Linked DNA regions of Macaca mulatta. The protein of the gene in region 2 interacts with the protein of the main gene of each other region in a pairwise test. Links are inferred from orthologs where the notes say so. Each region holds a gene or a part of one and is shown on either strand. Other genes may lie near its edges. The genes, in order: CRYGC, CRYAB and CRYBB2.

Region 1 (6,148 bases), on a different chromosome or scaffold from region 2:
AGTGGGAGCTTGAGCTTAAGTGTGGGAGGCAGAGACTGCAGTGAGCTAAGATTGCATCATTGCACTCTAGCCTGGGCAACAGAGCAGAACTCTGTCTCAAAAAATAAATAAATAGAATAAAGAGAATGTTAGTACAATTCCTAATAAGGCATTGCCTGGGGATGGCTAAAATACATGATTTCCTTGTCAAAATATAAAGGGATAAACCACAGCAGTGTTTTGGCCCAAGAACTATTTGGTGCTTATTAAAAATATAGGTTCTGGGCTGGGCACGGTGGCGCATGCCTGTAATCCCAGCACTTTGGGAGACCGAGCTGGGTGGATCACCTGAGGTCAGGAATTTGAGACCATCCTGGCCAACATAGCGAAACCCTGTCTCTACTAAAAATACAAAAATTAGCTGCATGTGGTGACGCACGCCTATAATCTCAGCTACTCAGGAAGTTGAAGCAGGAGAATCACTTGAACCCAGGAAGCGGAGGCTGCAGTGAGCTGAGATCGCACCACTGCACTCCAGCCTGGGTAACAGAGTGAGACTCCGTCTCAAAACATAAAATAAATTAAATAAAATAAAAAATAAAAATATAGGTTCTGAGGTCTTCTCCTGATCTAATGATGCAGGATTTGGCCAAAAGGTCAAGATGGTAATTTGCGGTTTTGACATGCCAGGTGATTCTTAGGCACACTCGAGTTTGAAAACCGCCTGATGGTTTCTGAAGTCCCTTCCAAGCCTAATTTTTCTTTAATCACAAAATGGCTTTACAGAGGATAAATTTTTTTCAGGAATCTTTGAAAGGATTAAATACCTTTGAGAGAGATAAACAGGATAAAGTCAGCCTTAACGATGTCACTCTATTACTAATAACAACATATATTCAGTGTTCATTTGTGCCAAGTATGTGCCAAATGCTTTATACACATAATCCCACTTATTCATGTCAATATCCTTTAGCTAAAGGCCACCAGGGACACACCTGTCTTTAAACAAGTTGAGCTTATTATTTGTTGCAGCAAGGGAGTAAGTTCTCCTTGGGGAAGCATGGAGTGTCTCAGTAGAGAGCTTATAAAGAAATTGTTAATAGGATTTGCACTTCAGTTGTGTGATTTGGGGGAGGATCTTAAAAATCTGAAGTTCACTCTAGATTAGATGTTAGCAGAAAGCAGGGTTAATTTTGTGATTAGTTATCTCAAGAAATCTTACCCGTAGGGAAGGGAGACTAGAACACGGATAAACCTGTAATCCATAAAGAAGTAGCAGTTAATCATTTTGGCTGAGAGAGTGAGGGCTTGGGATTTTGAGAGTGTAGCATTGACTTTGTTTTTGTCTGCGCTTAGGCAAAGTTAAGAAGTGGCTTTATTGTATCTCATTTCATCATGGTCTCGGAGTAGCCTTGTCTGAAGTTGTTATTCTGTGAGACTGTTTATGTCTAACAGGGGAGTAACATGTCCTCACTGTGAGTGCCAGGCCAGCATCTGAATGTCAGAGGCTGCCCTCTTGTCTCACTTTATTTCTCATTAATCAGACTGTAGTCCATGAGATAACTCATGCTCTGAGTGGTTATGTAATTTGCCATGGAGCTAATCAGTGGGCCTTCTGAGTGCAGGTGGCCTGAGTCCAAAGCTCACGCTCTTGCCGGTGAAGCTTTACGGCCTCCCTCACGCTTGAAGAAGGGAAAGCAATCTATAAAGTAGGATACAGTACTTCTCAGTCTCAGGCCCAGTGACCACAGAAACCTTTCCCTTGCTTGTTATCATAAGTTCACCACCAGGGACTGACTTCTAGTTAGATGACGTGCCCACGAAAGGCAAGGTTAAGAGCTGTCTTAAAGCATTGGGTTAACGAAGTCAAAACTAGCCAAGACATGCATCTAGATTTGTGTCCTGCCCTGGACTGGAAAACTGCGTAAAGACAAAAATTTAAGGTACAGCAGTCTCTACCATCCAGGGAAATGAGTCAGTGTTTGTGGCATTCTACATCAACAACCTCTCTGGAATCCTGGAGCGATTCTATAATGGCATAGATCTTTCCCAGAAAATTCACAGGAAATTACTCAATCATATAGAGAGAGCCATGAATTTCGGGTCAAAAGTTCAGACTGATGCGCAGATAAATTTAGAAAACAGTAACAATCCAAATAAAAGCAACACAGAGCAGTATGTGCAGGACAGCGTTAGAATATACCAGAGAACAAGGACACAATCTACAATCATTTCCAGTGAATGCAGCATGTTAAAGAGATGCGTAAAATCCCCTTACCGCCGAGGGCCCCTTTTGTGTTGTTCTTGCCAACGCAGCAGCCATCCTGCTATATAGACTGGCTGTGCGGCCGCAGGCCCCATCACACTGAACTCGCATCATCCGTGTCAACCAGCCATGGGGAAGGTAAGCAGAACACAAAAAATAAAATGAAAAAAAAAATTGCCGTTATATAATGCCTGTTAAGAGCAAATAATGCAATTTGGAACGATTCTTCCTTTGCAGATCACCCTCTATGAGGACAAGGCCTTCCAGGGCCGCAGCTACGAATCCACCACTGACTGCCCCAACCTGCAGACGTATTTAAGCCGCTGCAACTCCATCCGGGTGGAAAGTGGCTGCTGGATGCTCTATGAGCGTCCCAACTACCAAGGTCAACAATACTTGCTGCGGAGAGGGGAGTACCCTGACTACCAGCAATGGATGGGCCTCAGCGACTCCATCCGCTCCTGTTGTCTCATCCCCCAGGTGAGTTTTCTAGATTTCCATCATGCCGCCGGAGTGTCCCCACTGTATGGTCAATGTGGGTTAGAGGGAGGGAGGTTTGCATTTAAAAACTCCTAAGGGTTAGATGGACATCAGAGACCTGCATAAGCCAGATAGATAACATGGACAAAAACAGCAGAGAAATGTAAGGAAGAACCCACTTAGAGGGAGAATCCGTTTTACTTTAAATTTTTGCTACCAATAAGTCAATTAAAAGTGGTCTGTAACAAATGTAATATCATAATGGGATATAAAACAAAACTTGCAAATGGGAAGCTGGTTGGGCATACAAAGACGATATTTTTAACAAATTGTTTTGCCTATAGAAAAAGAATTTCTGATGAATTAATTAGATAGGTTCCACTGTGGACAAGTAAACCTTCAAAGCTGTATTGTTAATATAGGCTATTCAAAGGTTGTGTCCAACTTTGGAAAAGGTAATTTTTCTTAATTTGGAAAATCAGTTAAATTCTCATTCCAAATGACTATTTAAATTAACTTTACACTGAAGTACAAGATTTTTTAAATCTTACTTTAGTGGTAAATTTATATGTTTATAAATTTGGGAGATAATACTCTTACTAAAAGAATACTAGTCAAAATAAATTATTTCTATTTTTTCCCCAAAATGTAGTTTGAATTAACACAGGTAATTAGGAATCAAGATATCTGAGCTCTTGATGGATTCTAACTCAGCGTTTGAACCTCTTAAAAATTCCATCTCCTAAATAAGAATGAATTTCAGGTCAAAAAGAAAATGAGCATAGCAGTATTTAGGTGCTAGTGGAAGACAGATCCATGCGCAGCATCCACAGTAATCTACATTTTACACTGTCTAAATTTGACATTGACAATTCCATGCCCCACCCTACCAAGTTCATCTGTTCTTTGGTTGGACAAATTCCGGAAGAGACTCATTTGCTTTTCTCTATCCTTCTTTCTGCGGACCGAGTAGACAGGCTCCCACAGGCTGCGGCTGTACGAGAGAGAAGACCACAAAGGCCTCATGATGGAGCTGAGTGAGGACTGCCCCAGCATCCAGGACCGCTTCCACCTCAGCGAGATCCGTTCCCTCCACGTGCTGGAGGGCTGCTGGGTCCTCTACGAGCTGCCCAACTACCGGGGGCGCCAATACCTGCTGAGGCCCCAAGAGTACAGGCGGTGCCAGGACTGGGGGGCCATGGATGCTAAGGCTGGCTCTTTGCGGAGAGTGGTGGATTTATACTGAAATAGCTTAACACTACCAATTTCCCATTTTGGAACCTAATAAAGATTTAGTCTGCATTATTGGCAATTGCTGACTTCTGTCGTTCTTTCATTGTGCAAATCAGTTCACCTTTAAATTTCCTTGTCAAAAGTTAAGAAGTGAATGGGCAGGAGACCAGTCCTGTTGGAAAAGAGCTTCAAGGTAGAGTGAGTTTGAACAAGCCTAGAGTGAGTTTGAACAAGGTAGAGTGAGTTGGGGTGGAGGCAGGGTGTAGCCTGCCTGAGAAAGAAAAGGCAGGGCAATGCCAGAGACCTGGGAGAGGCTGACTGGCGAGAAGGGAGGCATTCAACTAAGTACCTTGAGGAACAATAGTTCGGAATTTTCCTTCTAACCAAAAATGTGGGTCAGACAAAAGGCAAAGTCAGATGAGTGGTGAGGGCACACTTAACTTGGCCGACAGCCTGATTAGACTATACAAAGGATTGTACTTTTGTTTACTTTCAGGCACAGTATTGTATTAGTAATGCCAGAGCCACCACGGCCACTGCTGTACCTTTGAACAAAGTTAAACACCATTCATCTCCTTTTGAAAATGACTCCTGTCCAGGACTGTAGCTCTTTGTCAGTACTACCCCTGGCCCAAATGCTGTGTTAATTACAGAAACTGCACATCAGTTTCATGGTGACCAGCTATTGCAAATAAATTAATAAGAGATACATATCAATCTTTTAAATAGATTTGCATGGTATAGTGTACCCCAAACATAAAAAGTAACTACAAAAAACATCGTTCTGCCATAAGGACACATGTGTATATATTCATCACAGCACTATTCACGACAACAAAGACGTGGAGTCAACCAAAATGTCCATCAATGGTAGGCTGGGTTTTACAAAGTGGTACATACACACAATGGAATACTATGCAGCCATAAAAAAAGAATGAGACCCTGTCCTTTGCAGCAACATAGGTGGAGCTGGAGGCCAATATCCTAAGCAAACTAACACAGGAACAGAAAACAAAATACCTCCAGGTTGGAGAGGATCGAAAAACTACCTGTCAGGTACTATACTTATCACCTGGGTGATAAAATAATCTGTACACCAAACCCCCACAACACACAATTTACCTGTATTACAAACCTAGATATGTGCCCCTGAATCTAAAATAAAAGTTAAAATAAATAAATAAGTCCTGTAATTACAAAACGGGCCCAAATTTAAAGGTGCATTAAAGAAAGCCATAATTTCTGGAGCCTTTGATTAAACTAAAATCTGCTTGCTCATAAGCAAAGCCCTAAAAAGTTTTTTTAAAAAAAAAGAAAGAAAAGAAAGCAATTGCAAGTTTTTTCATCAGTAGAGAATTAATTTATTTTAACTTAAAAATTTCCCTTCAAAGTAAAAGTCCTCCCATAATCTTACTACTGTACAAATTCTATAAAGAAGTAGAAGGGAGTCCTTCTGATGCCCCTCATTGCTAACTCCTGTTTATAGCTGGTGAGCACCCTTCTGGGATTTTCGCCTTGTTTATATAGCTGTCTCATAAAACACATGCTTCTTTTCTTTACAAAAATGGAATCATGCTATATATATTAGTCTGCAACTGGCTTTTAAAATGTATTATAATATGGACATATATCTAGGTCAGTATCTTATTCTGTTTCATGGTTGAATTGCATCTTGTTGTTTGGAAGTCCCTTAGACCATTTCACCATTTGTCCACTTAAGTGACTGGGCTTTCCCAATGTTGCTTTGACCAACAATGCTGCAAAGAATGACATTGTACATATACGCTAACCCTGACGTGCCATAATTTTAAAAAGATAGTGACCTAGAAGTGAGACTACCGGCTCATACTGCAAGTTTATTTTATTTATTTATTTTTTGAGACATGGTCACACTCTGTTGTCCAGGATAGAGTGCAGTGGCACAAACACAGCTCACTGCAGCTTTGACCTCCCAGGATCAAGCAATGATCCTTCCATCTCAGCTTCCTAAGTAGCTGAGGCTACAGGAGTGCACCACCATGCCCAGCTAATTTTTTCCTTTTTTATAGAAAGGGGGTCTCACTACGTTGCCAGGGCTGGTCTCAAACTCCTGGGCTCAAGTGATCCTCCCACATTGGCCTCCAAAAGTGCTGGGATTACAGGTGTGAGCCACCACACCCAGCCACAAGTTTATTTTCCATTTCAATATCC
Region 2 (6,661 bases):
CCAGAGGACGGGAAGGTAATGGGGTTCCATGATCATTGGAGAGGCTTTGTGTCTGTGCCCCTGTGTATGCATACTCGGGCTCTCAAAATCAGTGACCATTTCAGTGGACAGACCTTAGTACATGAAAACAAAGTATTTACTCCAGGGCTTTAGGCAACTCTCATCAGCCAAAAACCATTTTCCCAGCCCCTACCCAAAACGGGCCAGACAGTCTGGAGACCCTTGTTTTTGTGTCTCTAATCACCAGCTCAGACAGTGCCCTCTGGGCTGTTTGGATGGCATATCCCTTTTCTCTCCCAGGATCACTCTCTCTTTTGTTGCATTGTGAGAAAATCACGGCTAGGAATTTGATCTGGAGCCAGCGTCAGCTTCCGGGTATGATCTCAGTATCCAAGTGCGAGCTCAGGGTCCTATGACGTTAGGCACATCAAACTGAGGAACTTTTTGTCTAGCTGGCTGTGACCGCCTCCCTCCCTCCCCATCCCAGCTTGCCGGCCACAGAATAGGGAGCAGCACAAACAAGGCCCTGAGATTTGGGTTTATTCGGCTCCACCCAAAACTAAACCAAGGCTATGACACGTCCCATGGGACCAAACCATACATTGTAGACCATGCACCTTTCCTTTCCCCCAAGGACGCTGCTACCTCTGGAGTGGTGGGCAGCTGCCCATATCACCATGGGAGGTAGAGAGGGATTTGCTGGGTGCTGGGTCTGTGGCAATCAGGGCTCAACTATGGCTGCCTCCTCCTCTTCCTCTGGATCAGGAGGCGCAGGGAGCAGGGAGATGTAGACCTCATTGACCTCTGTGTCCAAATGTCGGCCACCCCGAGGCGCTTCCAGGTTTAAGATGCCATCATGGGAGAGAGCAGCTCGGACCCGCCAGGGGTCGACATCAGCAGGCAGGACATAGGTGCGGCAGAACTCTCGGGACACGAAGCCGTGGCGGTCCAGGCGCTGGGGGTGCCGGGCAGACACCTCCAGCAGGTTATCCACAGTCCTCACAGTCACCTCGTCTGGGGTAAAGTGGCTCACATCCAGAAATGCCTGGAACTTGCCCTCACTGAGCCTAAGCTCGGAGGCCCCTGCCCTGCTGCCCTCCCCAGCTGGGGCGGCCCGAGGCCGGACATAGTAGCCATGGTAGAGTGTGGGGGTCAGGATCTCTTCTGGAAGGAGGCCTAAGGGGCAGAGAGAACGCAAGAGGCAGGATGAGGGAGGATGAGGCTGGCACAGGGGCGAAATGGGAAATCTGGAGAGGAGGGATTGGGAAGAGCAAGAGGGGAGTCAGGAGGAGTGGGGAACGGGAAGGAGGCCACACAGTAGCTAGGAGGAGAAGGCAGCTGGGAAGAGGGGAAAGAGAACGGAAAGGAAAGGGAGGAGGAGGAGGAGAAGCGGGGGGAGGAGGAGGCACCAAATGGCCTGGTTGATAGAAGGGGGACAAGGAGGCACACCCAGGCGGGCAAAGGGCAGGTAGCAGCACTGCAAGCACCAAGTGTGTCTTGAGGTCAGCAGGAATGGGAAAGAGCTCTGCTTGGAGGGGATGAGAGGGAGTCTGGGGTGGGGGGTGGCTGGTCCCAGGAGATCAGTTAAGCCCAGAGTGGGGTGGAGGCCAGTAACGTTGGGAGGTCAGCCCAGAATTTCAGGGGGTGGGGGTGGGAGGCAAGGGGGTGGCATCTGTGCCATACCTTCTCCGAAGCGCTGCTCACCCAGGCGGCTCGGGTTGGCAAATTCGTACTCAGCGGTGGCTGGGTGGGCATGTGGCACTGAGCGGCCCGACATGGCTGCAGATGCAGCGGGAGCCCTGGTCCGAGGTGCAGCCCCAACAGGCGCAGCGCGACCCCTCCAGCTGCCCGGAGAGCCAGGGCTCGATAGGAGGTGGGGGCGGGGTCGACACCACCCAAAATAGTGCCGAGCCTCTGGGGGGGAGGGGCGGGGAGTGGGGGCCCTGAGTGAGAGCAACGAGGGTGTGACCAGCGCCGCCTGGACCCCTAGTCCCCTCCCCCGCACACTCTTCAGCTGTCGCAGGGGGCCTGAGAGGACAGCTGAGGGTCCTGGTTAGGAACGAGCTGAGAAGGGGTAGCTGGTGGTGCCTGGGGCATGAAGAGGCCTCGCTGAGACCCTCACAAACGGTTTGCACGTTTCCACACCTCATTTTCTCCTCCTTGGAGGCCGGCACTGTGCACCCAATTCCTAAAGCACTCCTGGATTTAATGTTCTGAGAGCCACATAGGATGAAAGATGCAAGAAATCTTTCTGCTCTTTTTTTCAGGGAGTGGGGTCTTTCTGCCCAGATGTCGGAGTCCTCTCCTAAACCCAGGTCAACCCAGGGCAGGAGGCAGATGGCTGGTACTGACATGTTGACCATCACTGCTCTCTTCCAAGGACTCACAAAGAGTTAATGTCCCTGGGGCCCAGCCTAGGAAGATTCCAGTCCCTGCCCAGGCCCAAGATAGTTGCTGGCCTGATTCCCCTGGCATTCAGGACTGAAGAGGAGGAGGAGGAGGGGCACACTCCACCGCCTGCCCCCCCACCCGCCCGCGTGCCTGCTTGGGATTCCTGACTCTGTACCAGCTTCAGAGAACTGGGGTGGGGGTGGGTGCCACTGGGTGTGTACAGAAAGCTAGTGAAACAAGACCATGACAAGTCACTGGCCGGCTCAGACGTGTTTGTGTTTCTCTTTTCTTAGCTCAGTGAGTACTGGGTATGTGTCACACTGCCAAATCCCCGATCACAAGTCTCCATGAACCGGCGGTGAGCTAGGATAATAAAACCCCTGACATCACCATTCCAGAAGCTTCACAAGACTGCATATATAAGGGGCTGGCTGTAGCTGCAGCTGAAGGAGCTGACCAGCCAGCTGACCCCCCACACTCACCTAGCCACCATGGACATCGCCATCCACCACCCCTGGATCCGCCGCCCCTTCTTTCCTTTCCACTCCCCCAGCCGCCTCTTTGACCAGTTCTTCGGAGAGCACCTGTTGGAGTCTGATCTTTTCCCGACGTCTACTTCCCTGAGCCCCTTCTACCTTCGGCCACCCTCCTTCCTGCGGGCACCCAGCTGGTTTGACACTGGACTCTCAGAGGTGAGTCTCCCCACTGCTAGAATGGGAGAGTCCTTACTGGAACCTCCTGTAAACTTCTCCATCCATTTTCCTCTCCTTTCCTGCCTAAACCATTTTAGGCACATGTGTATCCAAATGTGAAGAAAAATGAGGAGGTTGCTAGTTCCTCCCTCCCCCGTCACCTGTTTCTACTTGATGGTCCTCTGTATCCCATTTATTACATTTTTTTCATGCACTGTCAAGTTCATCCTCCATCCCCTAACTTCTCTGCAGGGTACCCCTTTCTGGTTTGGTTCATAACAATCTGCAGGGAAAGAGCTGCCTTCAAACTCCTTTGCTCATCTCTTCTAACACCATGGACTCTTGACCAATTTTACCATCTCAGGTGTCAGAGCCAGGAGAGAGCCCTGCCTCACCCTGCCTGAGCTGTTCACCCTCATGGGCATTTTCTGCCTTTTTATTCCCTCTTCTGTGATTTTCTGGGTTTCTCAGGGCTGTGACAGGGCATTGGCCTGGGTCCAACCAAGCCTTATGAGGAAACAATATAGGGACCCCCACTCGTCCTAAGAGGGTGAGAGAACAGGGTGAACATATAAGGTTGACAGAAGCTGTCACAGATAACGCTCTGGTTTAAAAATATTCGAGTGTGAGTAAACAGGAGATGAGTGGGCAAGGGCTTTGGAAGGACAAGCAGGACCAGCAGAACATTCCAGATTGGGTGGGTGGAAAACTGGCAAAGAGACCTGAGCCAGAAGAAGAGGCCTTTGTCTCACAGACAAACCACAAAGCCAGGCATCGGAGCCAGAGAGGCAGCAGATGCCAGGCCTGCACCCATCCTTGCGACTGGTCCCCTGGGTGATCTGTCTTCTTCTCTGTCCCTGTAAATAAAGTTTGGGTCTGATCACCATGAGCCTTAGGTATCACTGTGGTGGCTCCCTGAAGCAGAGAGCCATGTTTATTTAAAAAGGGGATATTTTAAAGCAGAAAAGAGAAGGATGAATTACCTGGACAGAAAGCAACTCTGCAGAATAAGACAACACCAGTATAATGAGTACTTTCGCCATCTTTCTCCCGTCCCATTCCCTTACCTTGCTATTTCTAGATGCGCCTGGAGAAGGACAGGTTCTCTGTCAACCTGGATGTGAAGCACTTCTCCCCAGAGGAACTCAAAGTTAAGGTGTTGGGAGATGTGATTGAGGTGCATGGCAAACATGAAGAGCGCCAGGTATGTAGCTTGGTTTTTGTTTTCTGCTCATTCATTCAGTGTATACTGTAATAGTCCAGGTAGTGCTATCAGCTTTGGAGGCTGGCTACATTCCAGTCCCAAGCTATAATAGTCTAGATCAGGGGTTACAAATCAATGTCTAGAAGACTAAGTTAGGGATAGACCTATTGCTGTTGTTACTGTTGTTATGGCCAGAGATGTGGTCTTTGTTTGATTTGATCGCCTTAGATGGGATGATGGGATGTTGATGCCCCATCTTAGCCAGAGGTTCTGAATCTTGGCCACATTAGAATCACCAGGGGAACTTTCAAAAAACCTAATGCTCAGGCATATTCCAGACCAATTAAATCAGAATTTTTAGGGGTGGGACCCAGGGCATCAACATTTTTTAAGGTAATTCTAATCTACAGTCAAGGTTGAGGACCACTGATTTAGGTATAGGGCTGTCAGACACCTAGTTGCTTTGCATAATTACATTAACTACAGGTACCCTAAAGGCACTTGAGTTGTGAATTCTCTGTTAGCTGTGCAAGAATCCATGTCTCTTCTTTAGCCCATCTTAATGCTGAACTACTTGGTTTGTCTAAATTTCAGAGCTGTGCTCAGTCTTTAATCCCCTATAGCCCATGCGGAAATCAGTTAATGAGAGCCTGTTTGGCTACATGCTTGAGAGTCAGCAGGCATACGGGTTAAGGTCATCTACTCTTTGGGGGAATTCTGACGAATGGAACAGCTTTTCATGACTTTGTAAGAGGGCTTTAAAATTCCTTCTCACCAATTAACGATAGCTCAGCGATAGCTCAGAACCTGTGCGTCAACCAGTACAGTTTGTCCTTAGTAATGTCCTCAGGCTGTTTCAATTTTGCTCATATGATTTAGGTTTGGGTCATAGTCTCCTTGGATGGAGTCTTTTTTTTTTTTTTTTTTTTTTTTTTTTTTCCCCAGCAGCAGTCCTATTGTTCTGGAACCTTCTGGGACATTCCTGAAGAGTCAGGACAATTTCAGGGCTTCCTCAGGGACTCAGATTCTAAATGAGATTCCAAATTCTGTAGGCCCAGTCAACATTATCTAAACCTTTGGGAAATACTCCTAAACATATCTATGCCTCAGGGTTTGAAAAACAATGAAGTGTTGTACTGTTTCAGACTTCTCAGATTCTCACTGGTAGGAGTGACTACCTAGGTAACTTCATCTTAGCCACAACCCTGAAACAAAGCACTGTTTATTTTTCCTATGTTGTCATGGCATTTGGTCTCACCTAAGGGGAAATCAGGATGCCTGAGTTCTGGGCAGGTGATAGTAGTTCATATTCTTATCTCTCTGCCTCTTTCCTCATTCTTTTGGGTTAGGATGAACATGGTTTCATCTCCAGGGAGTTCCACAGGAAATACCGGGTCCCAGCTGATGTGGACCCTCTCACCATTACTTCATCCCTGTCATCTGATGGGGTCCTCACTGTGAATGGACCAAGGAAACAGGTCTCTGGCCCTGAGCGCACCATTCCCATCACCCGTGAAGAGAAGCCTGCTGTCACCGCAGCCCCCAAGAAATAGATGCCCTTTCTTGAATTGCATTTTTTAAAACAAGAAAGTTTCCCCGCCAGTGAATGAAAGTCTTGTGACTAGTGCTGAAGCTTATTAATGCTAAGGGCAGGCCCAAATTATCAAGCTAATAAAATATCATTCAGCAACAGATAACTGTCTTGTGTTTGAATATTCCACACACTTTTAAATAAATGTACGGATACCACAGATCTATTTATGATTGCATTATGATTTAGAGGGCTCCAAGGATTTTAGAGTCAGAATGACTGGCTCCACCATTTACTAATGATATAAATTTAGGCAAGTTGCTTAACCTTTCTGGTCTTCAGGTTTTCCATTTATAACATGGGTTACTGAGTTGTACAGAGCTATTATAGGAAGTAAATTAAGGAGAAGAAGCAGGAAAAGCCCCTGGCAGAGTTCAAGGAATATTAGTTACTCTGTCTCTGCCCTCTTTGATTTTAGCCCTCAGTTTAAAGGACTGGAACACATCTGAATGAACTCTGGATAATGCTACATAAAAGGCCTTACTGCATCTCTAAAATTAATTACATCATCAGGGAAGACATGGTGACCCTAATATTGTTTGACGTTTTCCTATTGATAAGTATTGCCTTAAGCTGATTTACAAGGGCAATAAGCAGGACTTGGGTGATTATCACCTAACAAGCTCTGAGGTATAGGCTAAATCAGTGGCCCCCAACCTTTTTGGCAGCAGGGACTGGTTTTGTGGAAGACAATTTTTCCCGTGGCCCCGGGGGAGCAGGGGATGGTTTCGGGATGATTCAAGCATTAGATTCTCATAAGGAGTACACAAGCTAGATCTCTCA
Region 3 (6,188 bases), on a different chromosome or scaffold from region 2:
CACCTTGGAGCCGGAGGTCCTGAGACCAGGAAAGAGCCTGCCCCTCTAGCATTGTGCCCCTTCTGATTGGTGAGGAACCTCCTCACTGGGTGACCTTGCAAAAGTCATTTTACTTCCCTGAGCCTCAGTTTCTTCATCTGTAAAATGGGCATATTGGTATCTACTGTCCTGAGATTCCAATGTGCTTATTAGCTTGAGGGTTGTCACGCTGCGCAACTCCAGGGGTCTCCAATCACAAGACTATGAAATGCCCCAGAGGGCACTATTCACATTCTGTTTTACGTGGTTGGTGCCCCCCACCCCGCAGGGTTGGGCAACTCCCATCACAGAGTCATTGCTCAATAATCAATAGCCATCAGAAATACAAGAAATTCTGAGTTCAGGACTGGAGGAGAAGGTGGTTTAGCTCTTCTTCAAGACTCGTGCCAGTGTGAGTTTTCAGTGCTTCTGAGATCCCGAGTCTTACTAGTGTGTGAGTGTGTAAACTGTCGGGGAGGGGACAGGGCCCATCACTGCTCAGTTACACTCCCAAACCCTCCAAGCCCAGTCTAGCTCCTCCCAGGACCTACTGGAAGGTTGGAGAACACTGGACTTCACACCCCACAGACCCAGGTTCCCATGTTGGCTGTGCTGCTCCCATCTGTGTGGCCTTGAGCACGTCATTTGACCTCTCTGTGCCTCATTTTTCTCATCTGCCAAATGGCATAAAAGGATTTTATGTCTAAGGGATAAGGGTTTTCTTATCTGAAAATCTTATCTTAAACTGAAAATGTTTAAAGGATTAGATAACTAAGGAAAATGTTACAGGAACAGGAGGATGGGAAGAGATGTAGAAATGAAGAAAAATCAAAATATCTCAGGTGCCTATTAGAGGCACAATTAGCCTGTGCATGTGTGTGTGTGCCTGCCTGTGTGTGCATGTGTGTGCACGTGTGTGTGTGCGTGTGTGCCTGTGTGTGCTTGTGTGTGTGTGCGCGTGTGTGTGCACGTGTGTGTGCATGTGTGTGTGCGCATGTGTGGGTGTGCGTGTGTGTGTGCGCCTGTGTGCATGTGTGTGTGTGCATGTGTGTGCCTGTGTGTGTATGCCTGTGAGTGTGCCTGTGTGTGCATGTGTGGGTGTGCACTTGTGAGTGGGTGGTAGATTGTAGCTGCCATTTATAAAAGAGAAACTTGAGGCATAGGAGGAAAAAATGACATTTCAGAATCAAATATTCCCCAAAGTGTCAGAGTGTCTGTTACATGAAAATGGCCCAGTAGAAACTTAACAAATGGCTGCGATCCAACAGCAGTTGTCATAGACACGTGGTAGGTGCACTGGGCAGAGAGTGATGTGTGGGACATGCGGATCCCAACTCTGGGGCATGAGCATGGGGTGGGAAGGCCAACCCTGGGCCCCGTCACTCATACTCACTTCCCCACATCCTCTGCCAATAGGACAGCCAAGAGCACAAGATCATCCTCTATGAAAACCCCAACTTCACCGGGAAGAAGATGGAAATCATAGATGACGACGTACCCAGCTTCCACGCCCATGGCTACCAGGAGAAGGTGTCATCTGTGCGGGTGCAGAGTGGCACGTAAGCGCATTGCCAGCCCTGGCTCACCCTGCCCCAGGAACTGAGACTCTCGGGTCCTAAGTCCTGCTCTGCCCTGTGTACACTGGTGATCTTGCACACATCAGTGTACTCTGCTGACCTCTGGCTTCCCACTGGAAAGTAAATGGGAATTCTCTGTCCACAGGTAGCTTACAGCCCCTGAATTTCTCTCTAGAGCTGCCTTTGGGGAAATGGCCTTTGGAGTGGAGAAACCTTGGCCTTTACCTCAGCCCCAGTGAGCAAGACATGTATGTCAGAGGGGCAAGTTGAGGCAGAGGGAGGATTAGGTTGAGGCAGGAGGGAAGGAATGAGTTAAGTAGTCTGAAAGCTGAGAAGCAGGAGGACCAGCCCATGCTGCCTTTGACCGCATGTGTCCCTAAGTTTGGGAACAGGAGGTGTCATTTTCCTCTGAATGGAAGTTCCTGGGCACATCGACCCTGGCCATCAGCAATGGGGGATTTCTCATGGTAAAAAATTTGGATTCCATGGGGGGTCCACAGATGAGCTTTGGGCAGCAGTGTGTTGGAAATAGCTTATATCAGCCTTTTTTAAATTTTTTTTATTTTTTTTTAATTGAGATGGGGTCTTGCACTGTCGCCCGGGCTGGAATGCAGTGGAACAATCTTGGCTCACTGCAGCCTCCGCCTCCCAGGTTCAAGCAATTCTCCTGTCTCAACCTCCCAAATAGCTGGGATTACAGGTGCCCACTACCAAGCTCAGCAATTTTTTTTTTTTTTTTTTTTTTTTTTTTGAGACGGAGTCTCGCTCTGTCGCCCAGGCTGGAGTGCAGTGGCCAGATCTCAGCTCACTGCAAGCTCCGCCTCCCAGGTTTATGCCATTCTCCTGCCTCAGCCTCCCGAGTAGCTGGGACTACAGGCGCCCGCCACCTCGCCCGGCTAGTTTTTTGTATTTTTTAGTAGAGATGGGGTTTCACCGTGCTAGCCAGGATGGTCTCGATCTCCTGACCTCGTGATCCGCCCGTCTCGGCCTCCCAAAGTGCTGGGATTACAGGCGTGAGCCACCGCGCCCGGCCGAGAAAAGATTCTTGAGCTGAGATCTCAAGAAACAGTAGGAATTGCGGGGGTAAAGAGGCCAAGCAAGAGCGTCCCAGACAATGAGAGCAGCATGTGCAAAGGCCCTGTGGTGCATGTGGGGGGAGCCTGGTAGGTCTGAGAAACTCTACAAAGGCCACTGGCTGGACTGCAGAGATGTGGGAGCATAAGAATGCGAAGGTAGTGCTGGATATGTCCATAGAGACTGGCCAGGCAGGTCCTTGCAGGCCAGGCCTGTGTGACATTTTCTGGAGAGAAGACCAGTACTTTCATTAAGTAGCCCCTGGAACCTCTTTCATCAGAAGACCCCTGGAACCTCCCCCAACTGTTTGGCCTTGCAGCTGGGCTTGGAGGTGGGATAGCAGTGGATGGAGATGGTTCAAAGGTCTGACTTATTCTAAACTTCAGTGAGCTTAAGATACCACCCCCTTGCTCTGACCCCAGTACCAGGCCTTCAGTCAAAATTTGCTTCAGGAGGCAGTGAGCTCCCCATTAAGAGAAGGAAGAAAGCAGTGCTGGAAGGGTGGGGTGGAAAGGGTGTCCTGCTTACTCCTGGGAAGTGGCAATGGTTGGGAGGCTTCACCCTTCCTAGTGGCTTATGGATGCTCTCTCCCCTCGCTTCTCTCTTGTTTCTCTTCCTGTTCCCCCGGTTCACCCTCCCCTCACCTCTGGTCCTGCAGGTGGGTTGGCTACCAGTACCCCGGCTACCGCGGGCTGCAGTACCTGCTGGAGAAGGGAGACTACAAGGAGAGCAGCGACTTTGGGGCCCCTCACCCCCAGGTGCAGTCTGTGCGCCGCATCCGCGACATGCAGTGGCACCAACGTGGCGCCTTCCACCCCTCCAACTAGTACCCTCCCCACCATGCCTCTTTCCCAGGACCCAGACCTGCTGCCCAGGAACCCTCCAGACCAACCAGAGAGTGAATAAAGTGTGACTTGCAACTTGTCTGCTGTGGGTCTCTGATCCCCCCAGCAGCTGGGGTGTGTGTGTGTGTGTGTGTGTGTGTGTGTGTGTGTGAGAGAGAGAGAGAGAGAGAGAGAGAGAGAGAGAGAGAGACAGCGAGAGAGAAATGAGAATCAGCATGTATCTGGGCTAGGAGTAGGGCAACAGAACCCTTAATTGAATCTTACAGTTCTGCAGCTGCTTAGCTGTGTGACCTTGGACACAGTGCCCAACCTCTCTGAGCCTTTATTTCTTCATCTGACTTGAAATTCCCTTGCCTCTGAGTGGCTGGCTTGGTTGAGCTCCTGAGCCCCCTGTTACATGCTGGTTGCTGAGCACAGTCATTCTCAGGGGCATGTGATGGGTGCCCCAGCCCTTAAAAACGTGTTCACTGCCCGCCATTCTCACATTATCACATTATCCCCTTGAGTCTGGGAGTCTTTTTTGATTTGCAAGAGAAGCCAAGAACCCTGAATCCCCCACTCCAGCCCAGGGAGAGGTCAGAATGCCACGTTTGTGAGTGTGTTCATTCATTCATCATATGGCTGCGGGCAACTGTTAGTAATTTAAGAATCTACACATCTAAGCTACTTCAATGAGGAAGAGACTACTGAGCTGTGAGGATCTTGGCTGTAGCCAGGCTCAAGGTGATGCAATGATCTGGGAATGAAGGCTGGTTTATACTGCTGTTCTGGGCCATTGGCCAGGGATAGAGGCTCAGGCAAGTCCTTTTGCCTTCAGAGCTTTGATGCTTCTACTCAGGAAGATGGGAGAGAAACAGTACCTTCCTAATGGGATTGCGACAAGGCTGAAACGAAATGCTGCAGGCCTTCTGTCTTTAGACTCAGCTTTTGTTGGTTAATATGCAGTGCAAATATCTGCTTCCTGGGTGCAGCCTCTTGCCACTTTGTTTTTGGTATCTCTTGATACCATTTTAAATTTTAATGTAGTCAAACAGCAATATTTTCCTTTAGGGTTTATGCCTTTCACATCTCCTTGAAGAAATTCTTTCTTCTTCCTTTTTTTTTTTCCCAAGACAGAGTCTTGCTCTGTTGCCCAGGCTGGAGTGCAGTGGTACAATCTTGGCTCACTGCAACCTCCGCCTCCCGGGTTCAGCAGTTCTCCCGCTTCAGCCTCCCGAGTAGCTGGATTACAGGCATGCACCACCATGCCCGCCTAAATTTTGTATTTTTAGTAGGGGTTTCACCATGTTGGCCCGGCTGGTCTTGAATCCCTGAACTTGTGATCCGCCTGCTTTGGCCTCCCAAAGTGCTGGGATTACAGGAGTGAGCCACTATGCCCGGCCAACCTTGAAGAAATTCTTTCTAATCCCTGGTTACAAAGAAATTGCCCAATATATTTTTTTCCCTAAACTTTTAAAACTTTTGCTCTTCACATTTGCGTTCTTAATCCTTCTGGAGCTGATTCTTGCATGTAGTGTATGGTAGAGATTCAGTTTCCTTTTCTTTTTTTTTCCACTTTGGACATCCGATGTCCTAAAATCATTCATGAAGGAGTCCATTTGCTGCACTGCAGCGCAGTCACCTTGCTGATCCATCCCCTTCCCCATAGATGGGGTGATTTTATGGGCTGTCTTTTCTGTTCCTATAGTCAGTGTATCCCCGCACTTTGCCACTTTATGTTCATGACTACTGCTTTGTAGTCAGTGTTGAGGTCCCTAAAACAGGGGCCCTGAAACCCTGGGTCTCCCATGGCCGGAAATGGGGGTTGCACAACAGGAGGTGGGCATTGCAGCCTGAGCTCCGCCTCCTGTCAGACCAGCGGAGGCATTAGATTCTCACAGGAGTGCAAACCCTATTGTGAATTGTACATGCAAAGGATCTAGGTTGCATGCTCCAATGAGAATCTAACGTCCGCTGCCCACAGCCCATGAAAAAGTGTCTTCCACAAAATCGATCCCTGGTGCCAAAACATTTGGGGACCACTGCCCTATAACATGATTCTTCAGGAATGTTTTAGAAATTCTCGCCCCTTTAGGACTCCATTTAGAAGCATCCCCTCACATTTGGAAAAGTGGAAAACCTTGTTGAATGAACTAAAGTGGTTCAAATGATTATCATAAAGGTAGAAACCAGTAAGTGCTCCATATACATCATGGAATACTATGCAGCCATAAAAAAGAATGAGTTCATGTCCTTTGCGGGGACATCGATGAAGCTGGAAACCGTCATTCTCAGCAAACTGACACAGGAACAGAAAACCAAACACCGCATGTTCTCACTCATAAGTGGGAGTCGAACAATGAGAACACATGGACACAGGGAGGAGAACATCACACATTGGGGTTTGTCAGGGGTGGGGAGCAAGGGGAGGGAGAGCATTAGGACAAATACCAAATGCATGCAGGGCTTAAAACATAGATGATCGGTTGATGAGTGCAGCAAACCACTGTGGTACATGTATCCCAGAACTTAAGTAAAAAAAAAAAAAAAAAAAAAGTCGGGCAAGGTGGCTCACGCCTGTAATTGCAGCACTTTGAGAGGCTGAGGCGGGCAGATCATGAGGTCAGGAGATCGAGGCCATCCTGGCTAACACGGTGAAACCTCATCTCTACTAAAAATACAAAAAATTGCTGGG

The links.
Region 1: the proteins of CRYAB (region 2) and CRYGC interact in binary tests that used the Homo sapiens proteins (3 or more experiments, as listed by UniProt). The link is inferred for Macaca mulatta from reciprocal best matches to the Homo sapiens genes CRYAB and CRYGC.
Region 3: the proteins of CRYAB (region 2) and CRYBB2 interact in a two-hybrid assay, tested with the Homo sapiens proteins (2 studies listed by BioGRID and IntAct). The link is inferred for Macaca mulatta from reciprocal best matches to the Homo sapiens genes CRYAB and CRYBB2.

Annotation. Positions count from the first base shown.
Region 1 is NC_133417.1:113,408,326-113,414,473, reverse strand, and holds CRYGC (gamma-crystallin C), read left to right. Parts: upstream 1-2,352; 5' UTR 2,353-2,374; coding exon 2,375-2,383; intron 2,384-2,482; coding exon 2,483-2,725; intron 2,726-3,698; coding exon 3,699-3,971; 3' UTR 3,972-4,042; downstream 4,043-6,148. UniProt on the Homo sapiens protein: Crystallins are the dominant structural components of the vertebrate eye lens.
Region 2 is NC_133419.1:112,656,525-112,663,185, reverse strand, and holds CRYAB (alpha-crystallin B chain), read left to right. Parts: upstream 1-2,849; 5' UTR 2,850-2,882; coding exon 2,883-3,083; intron 3,084-3,873; exon of another isoform or gene 3,874-3,942; intron 3,943-4,164; coding exon 4,165-4,287; intron 4,288-5,636; coding exon 5,637-5,840; 3' UTR 5,841-5,979; downstream 5,980-6,661. Other genes in the region: HSPB2 (heat shock protein beta-2), read right to left, coding at 722-1,176, 1,684-1,777. UniProt on the Homo sapiens protein: May contribute to the transparency and refractive index of the lens. Has chaperone-like activity, preventing aggregation of various proteins under a wide range of stress conditions.
Region 3 is NC_133415.1:26,673,637-26,679,824, forward strand, and holds the end of CRYBB2 (beta-crystallin B2), read left to right. Parts: intron 1-1,434; coding exon 1,435-1,577; intron 1,578-3,327; coding exon 3,328-3,496; 3' UTR 3,497-3,593; downstream 3,594-6,188. UniProt on the Homo sapiens protein: Crystallins are the dominant structural components of the vertebrate eye lens.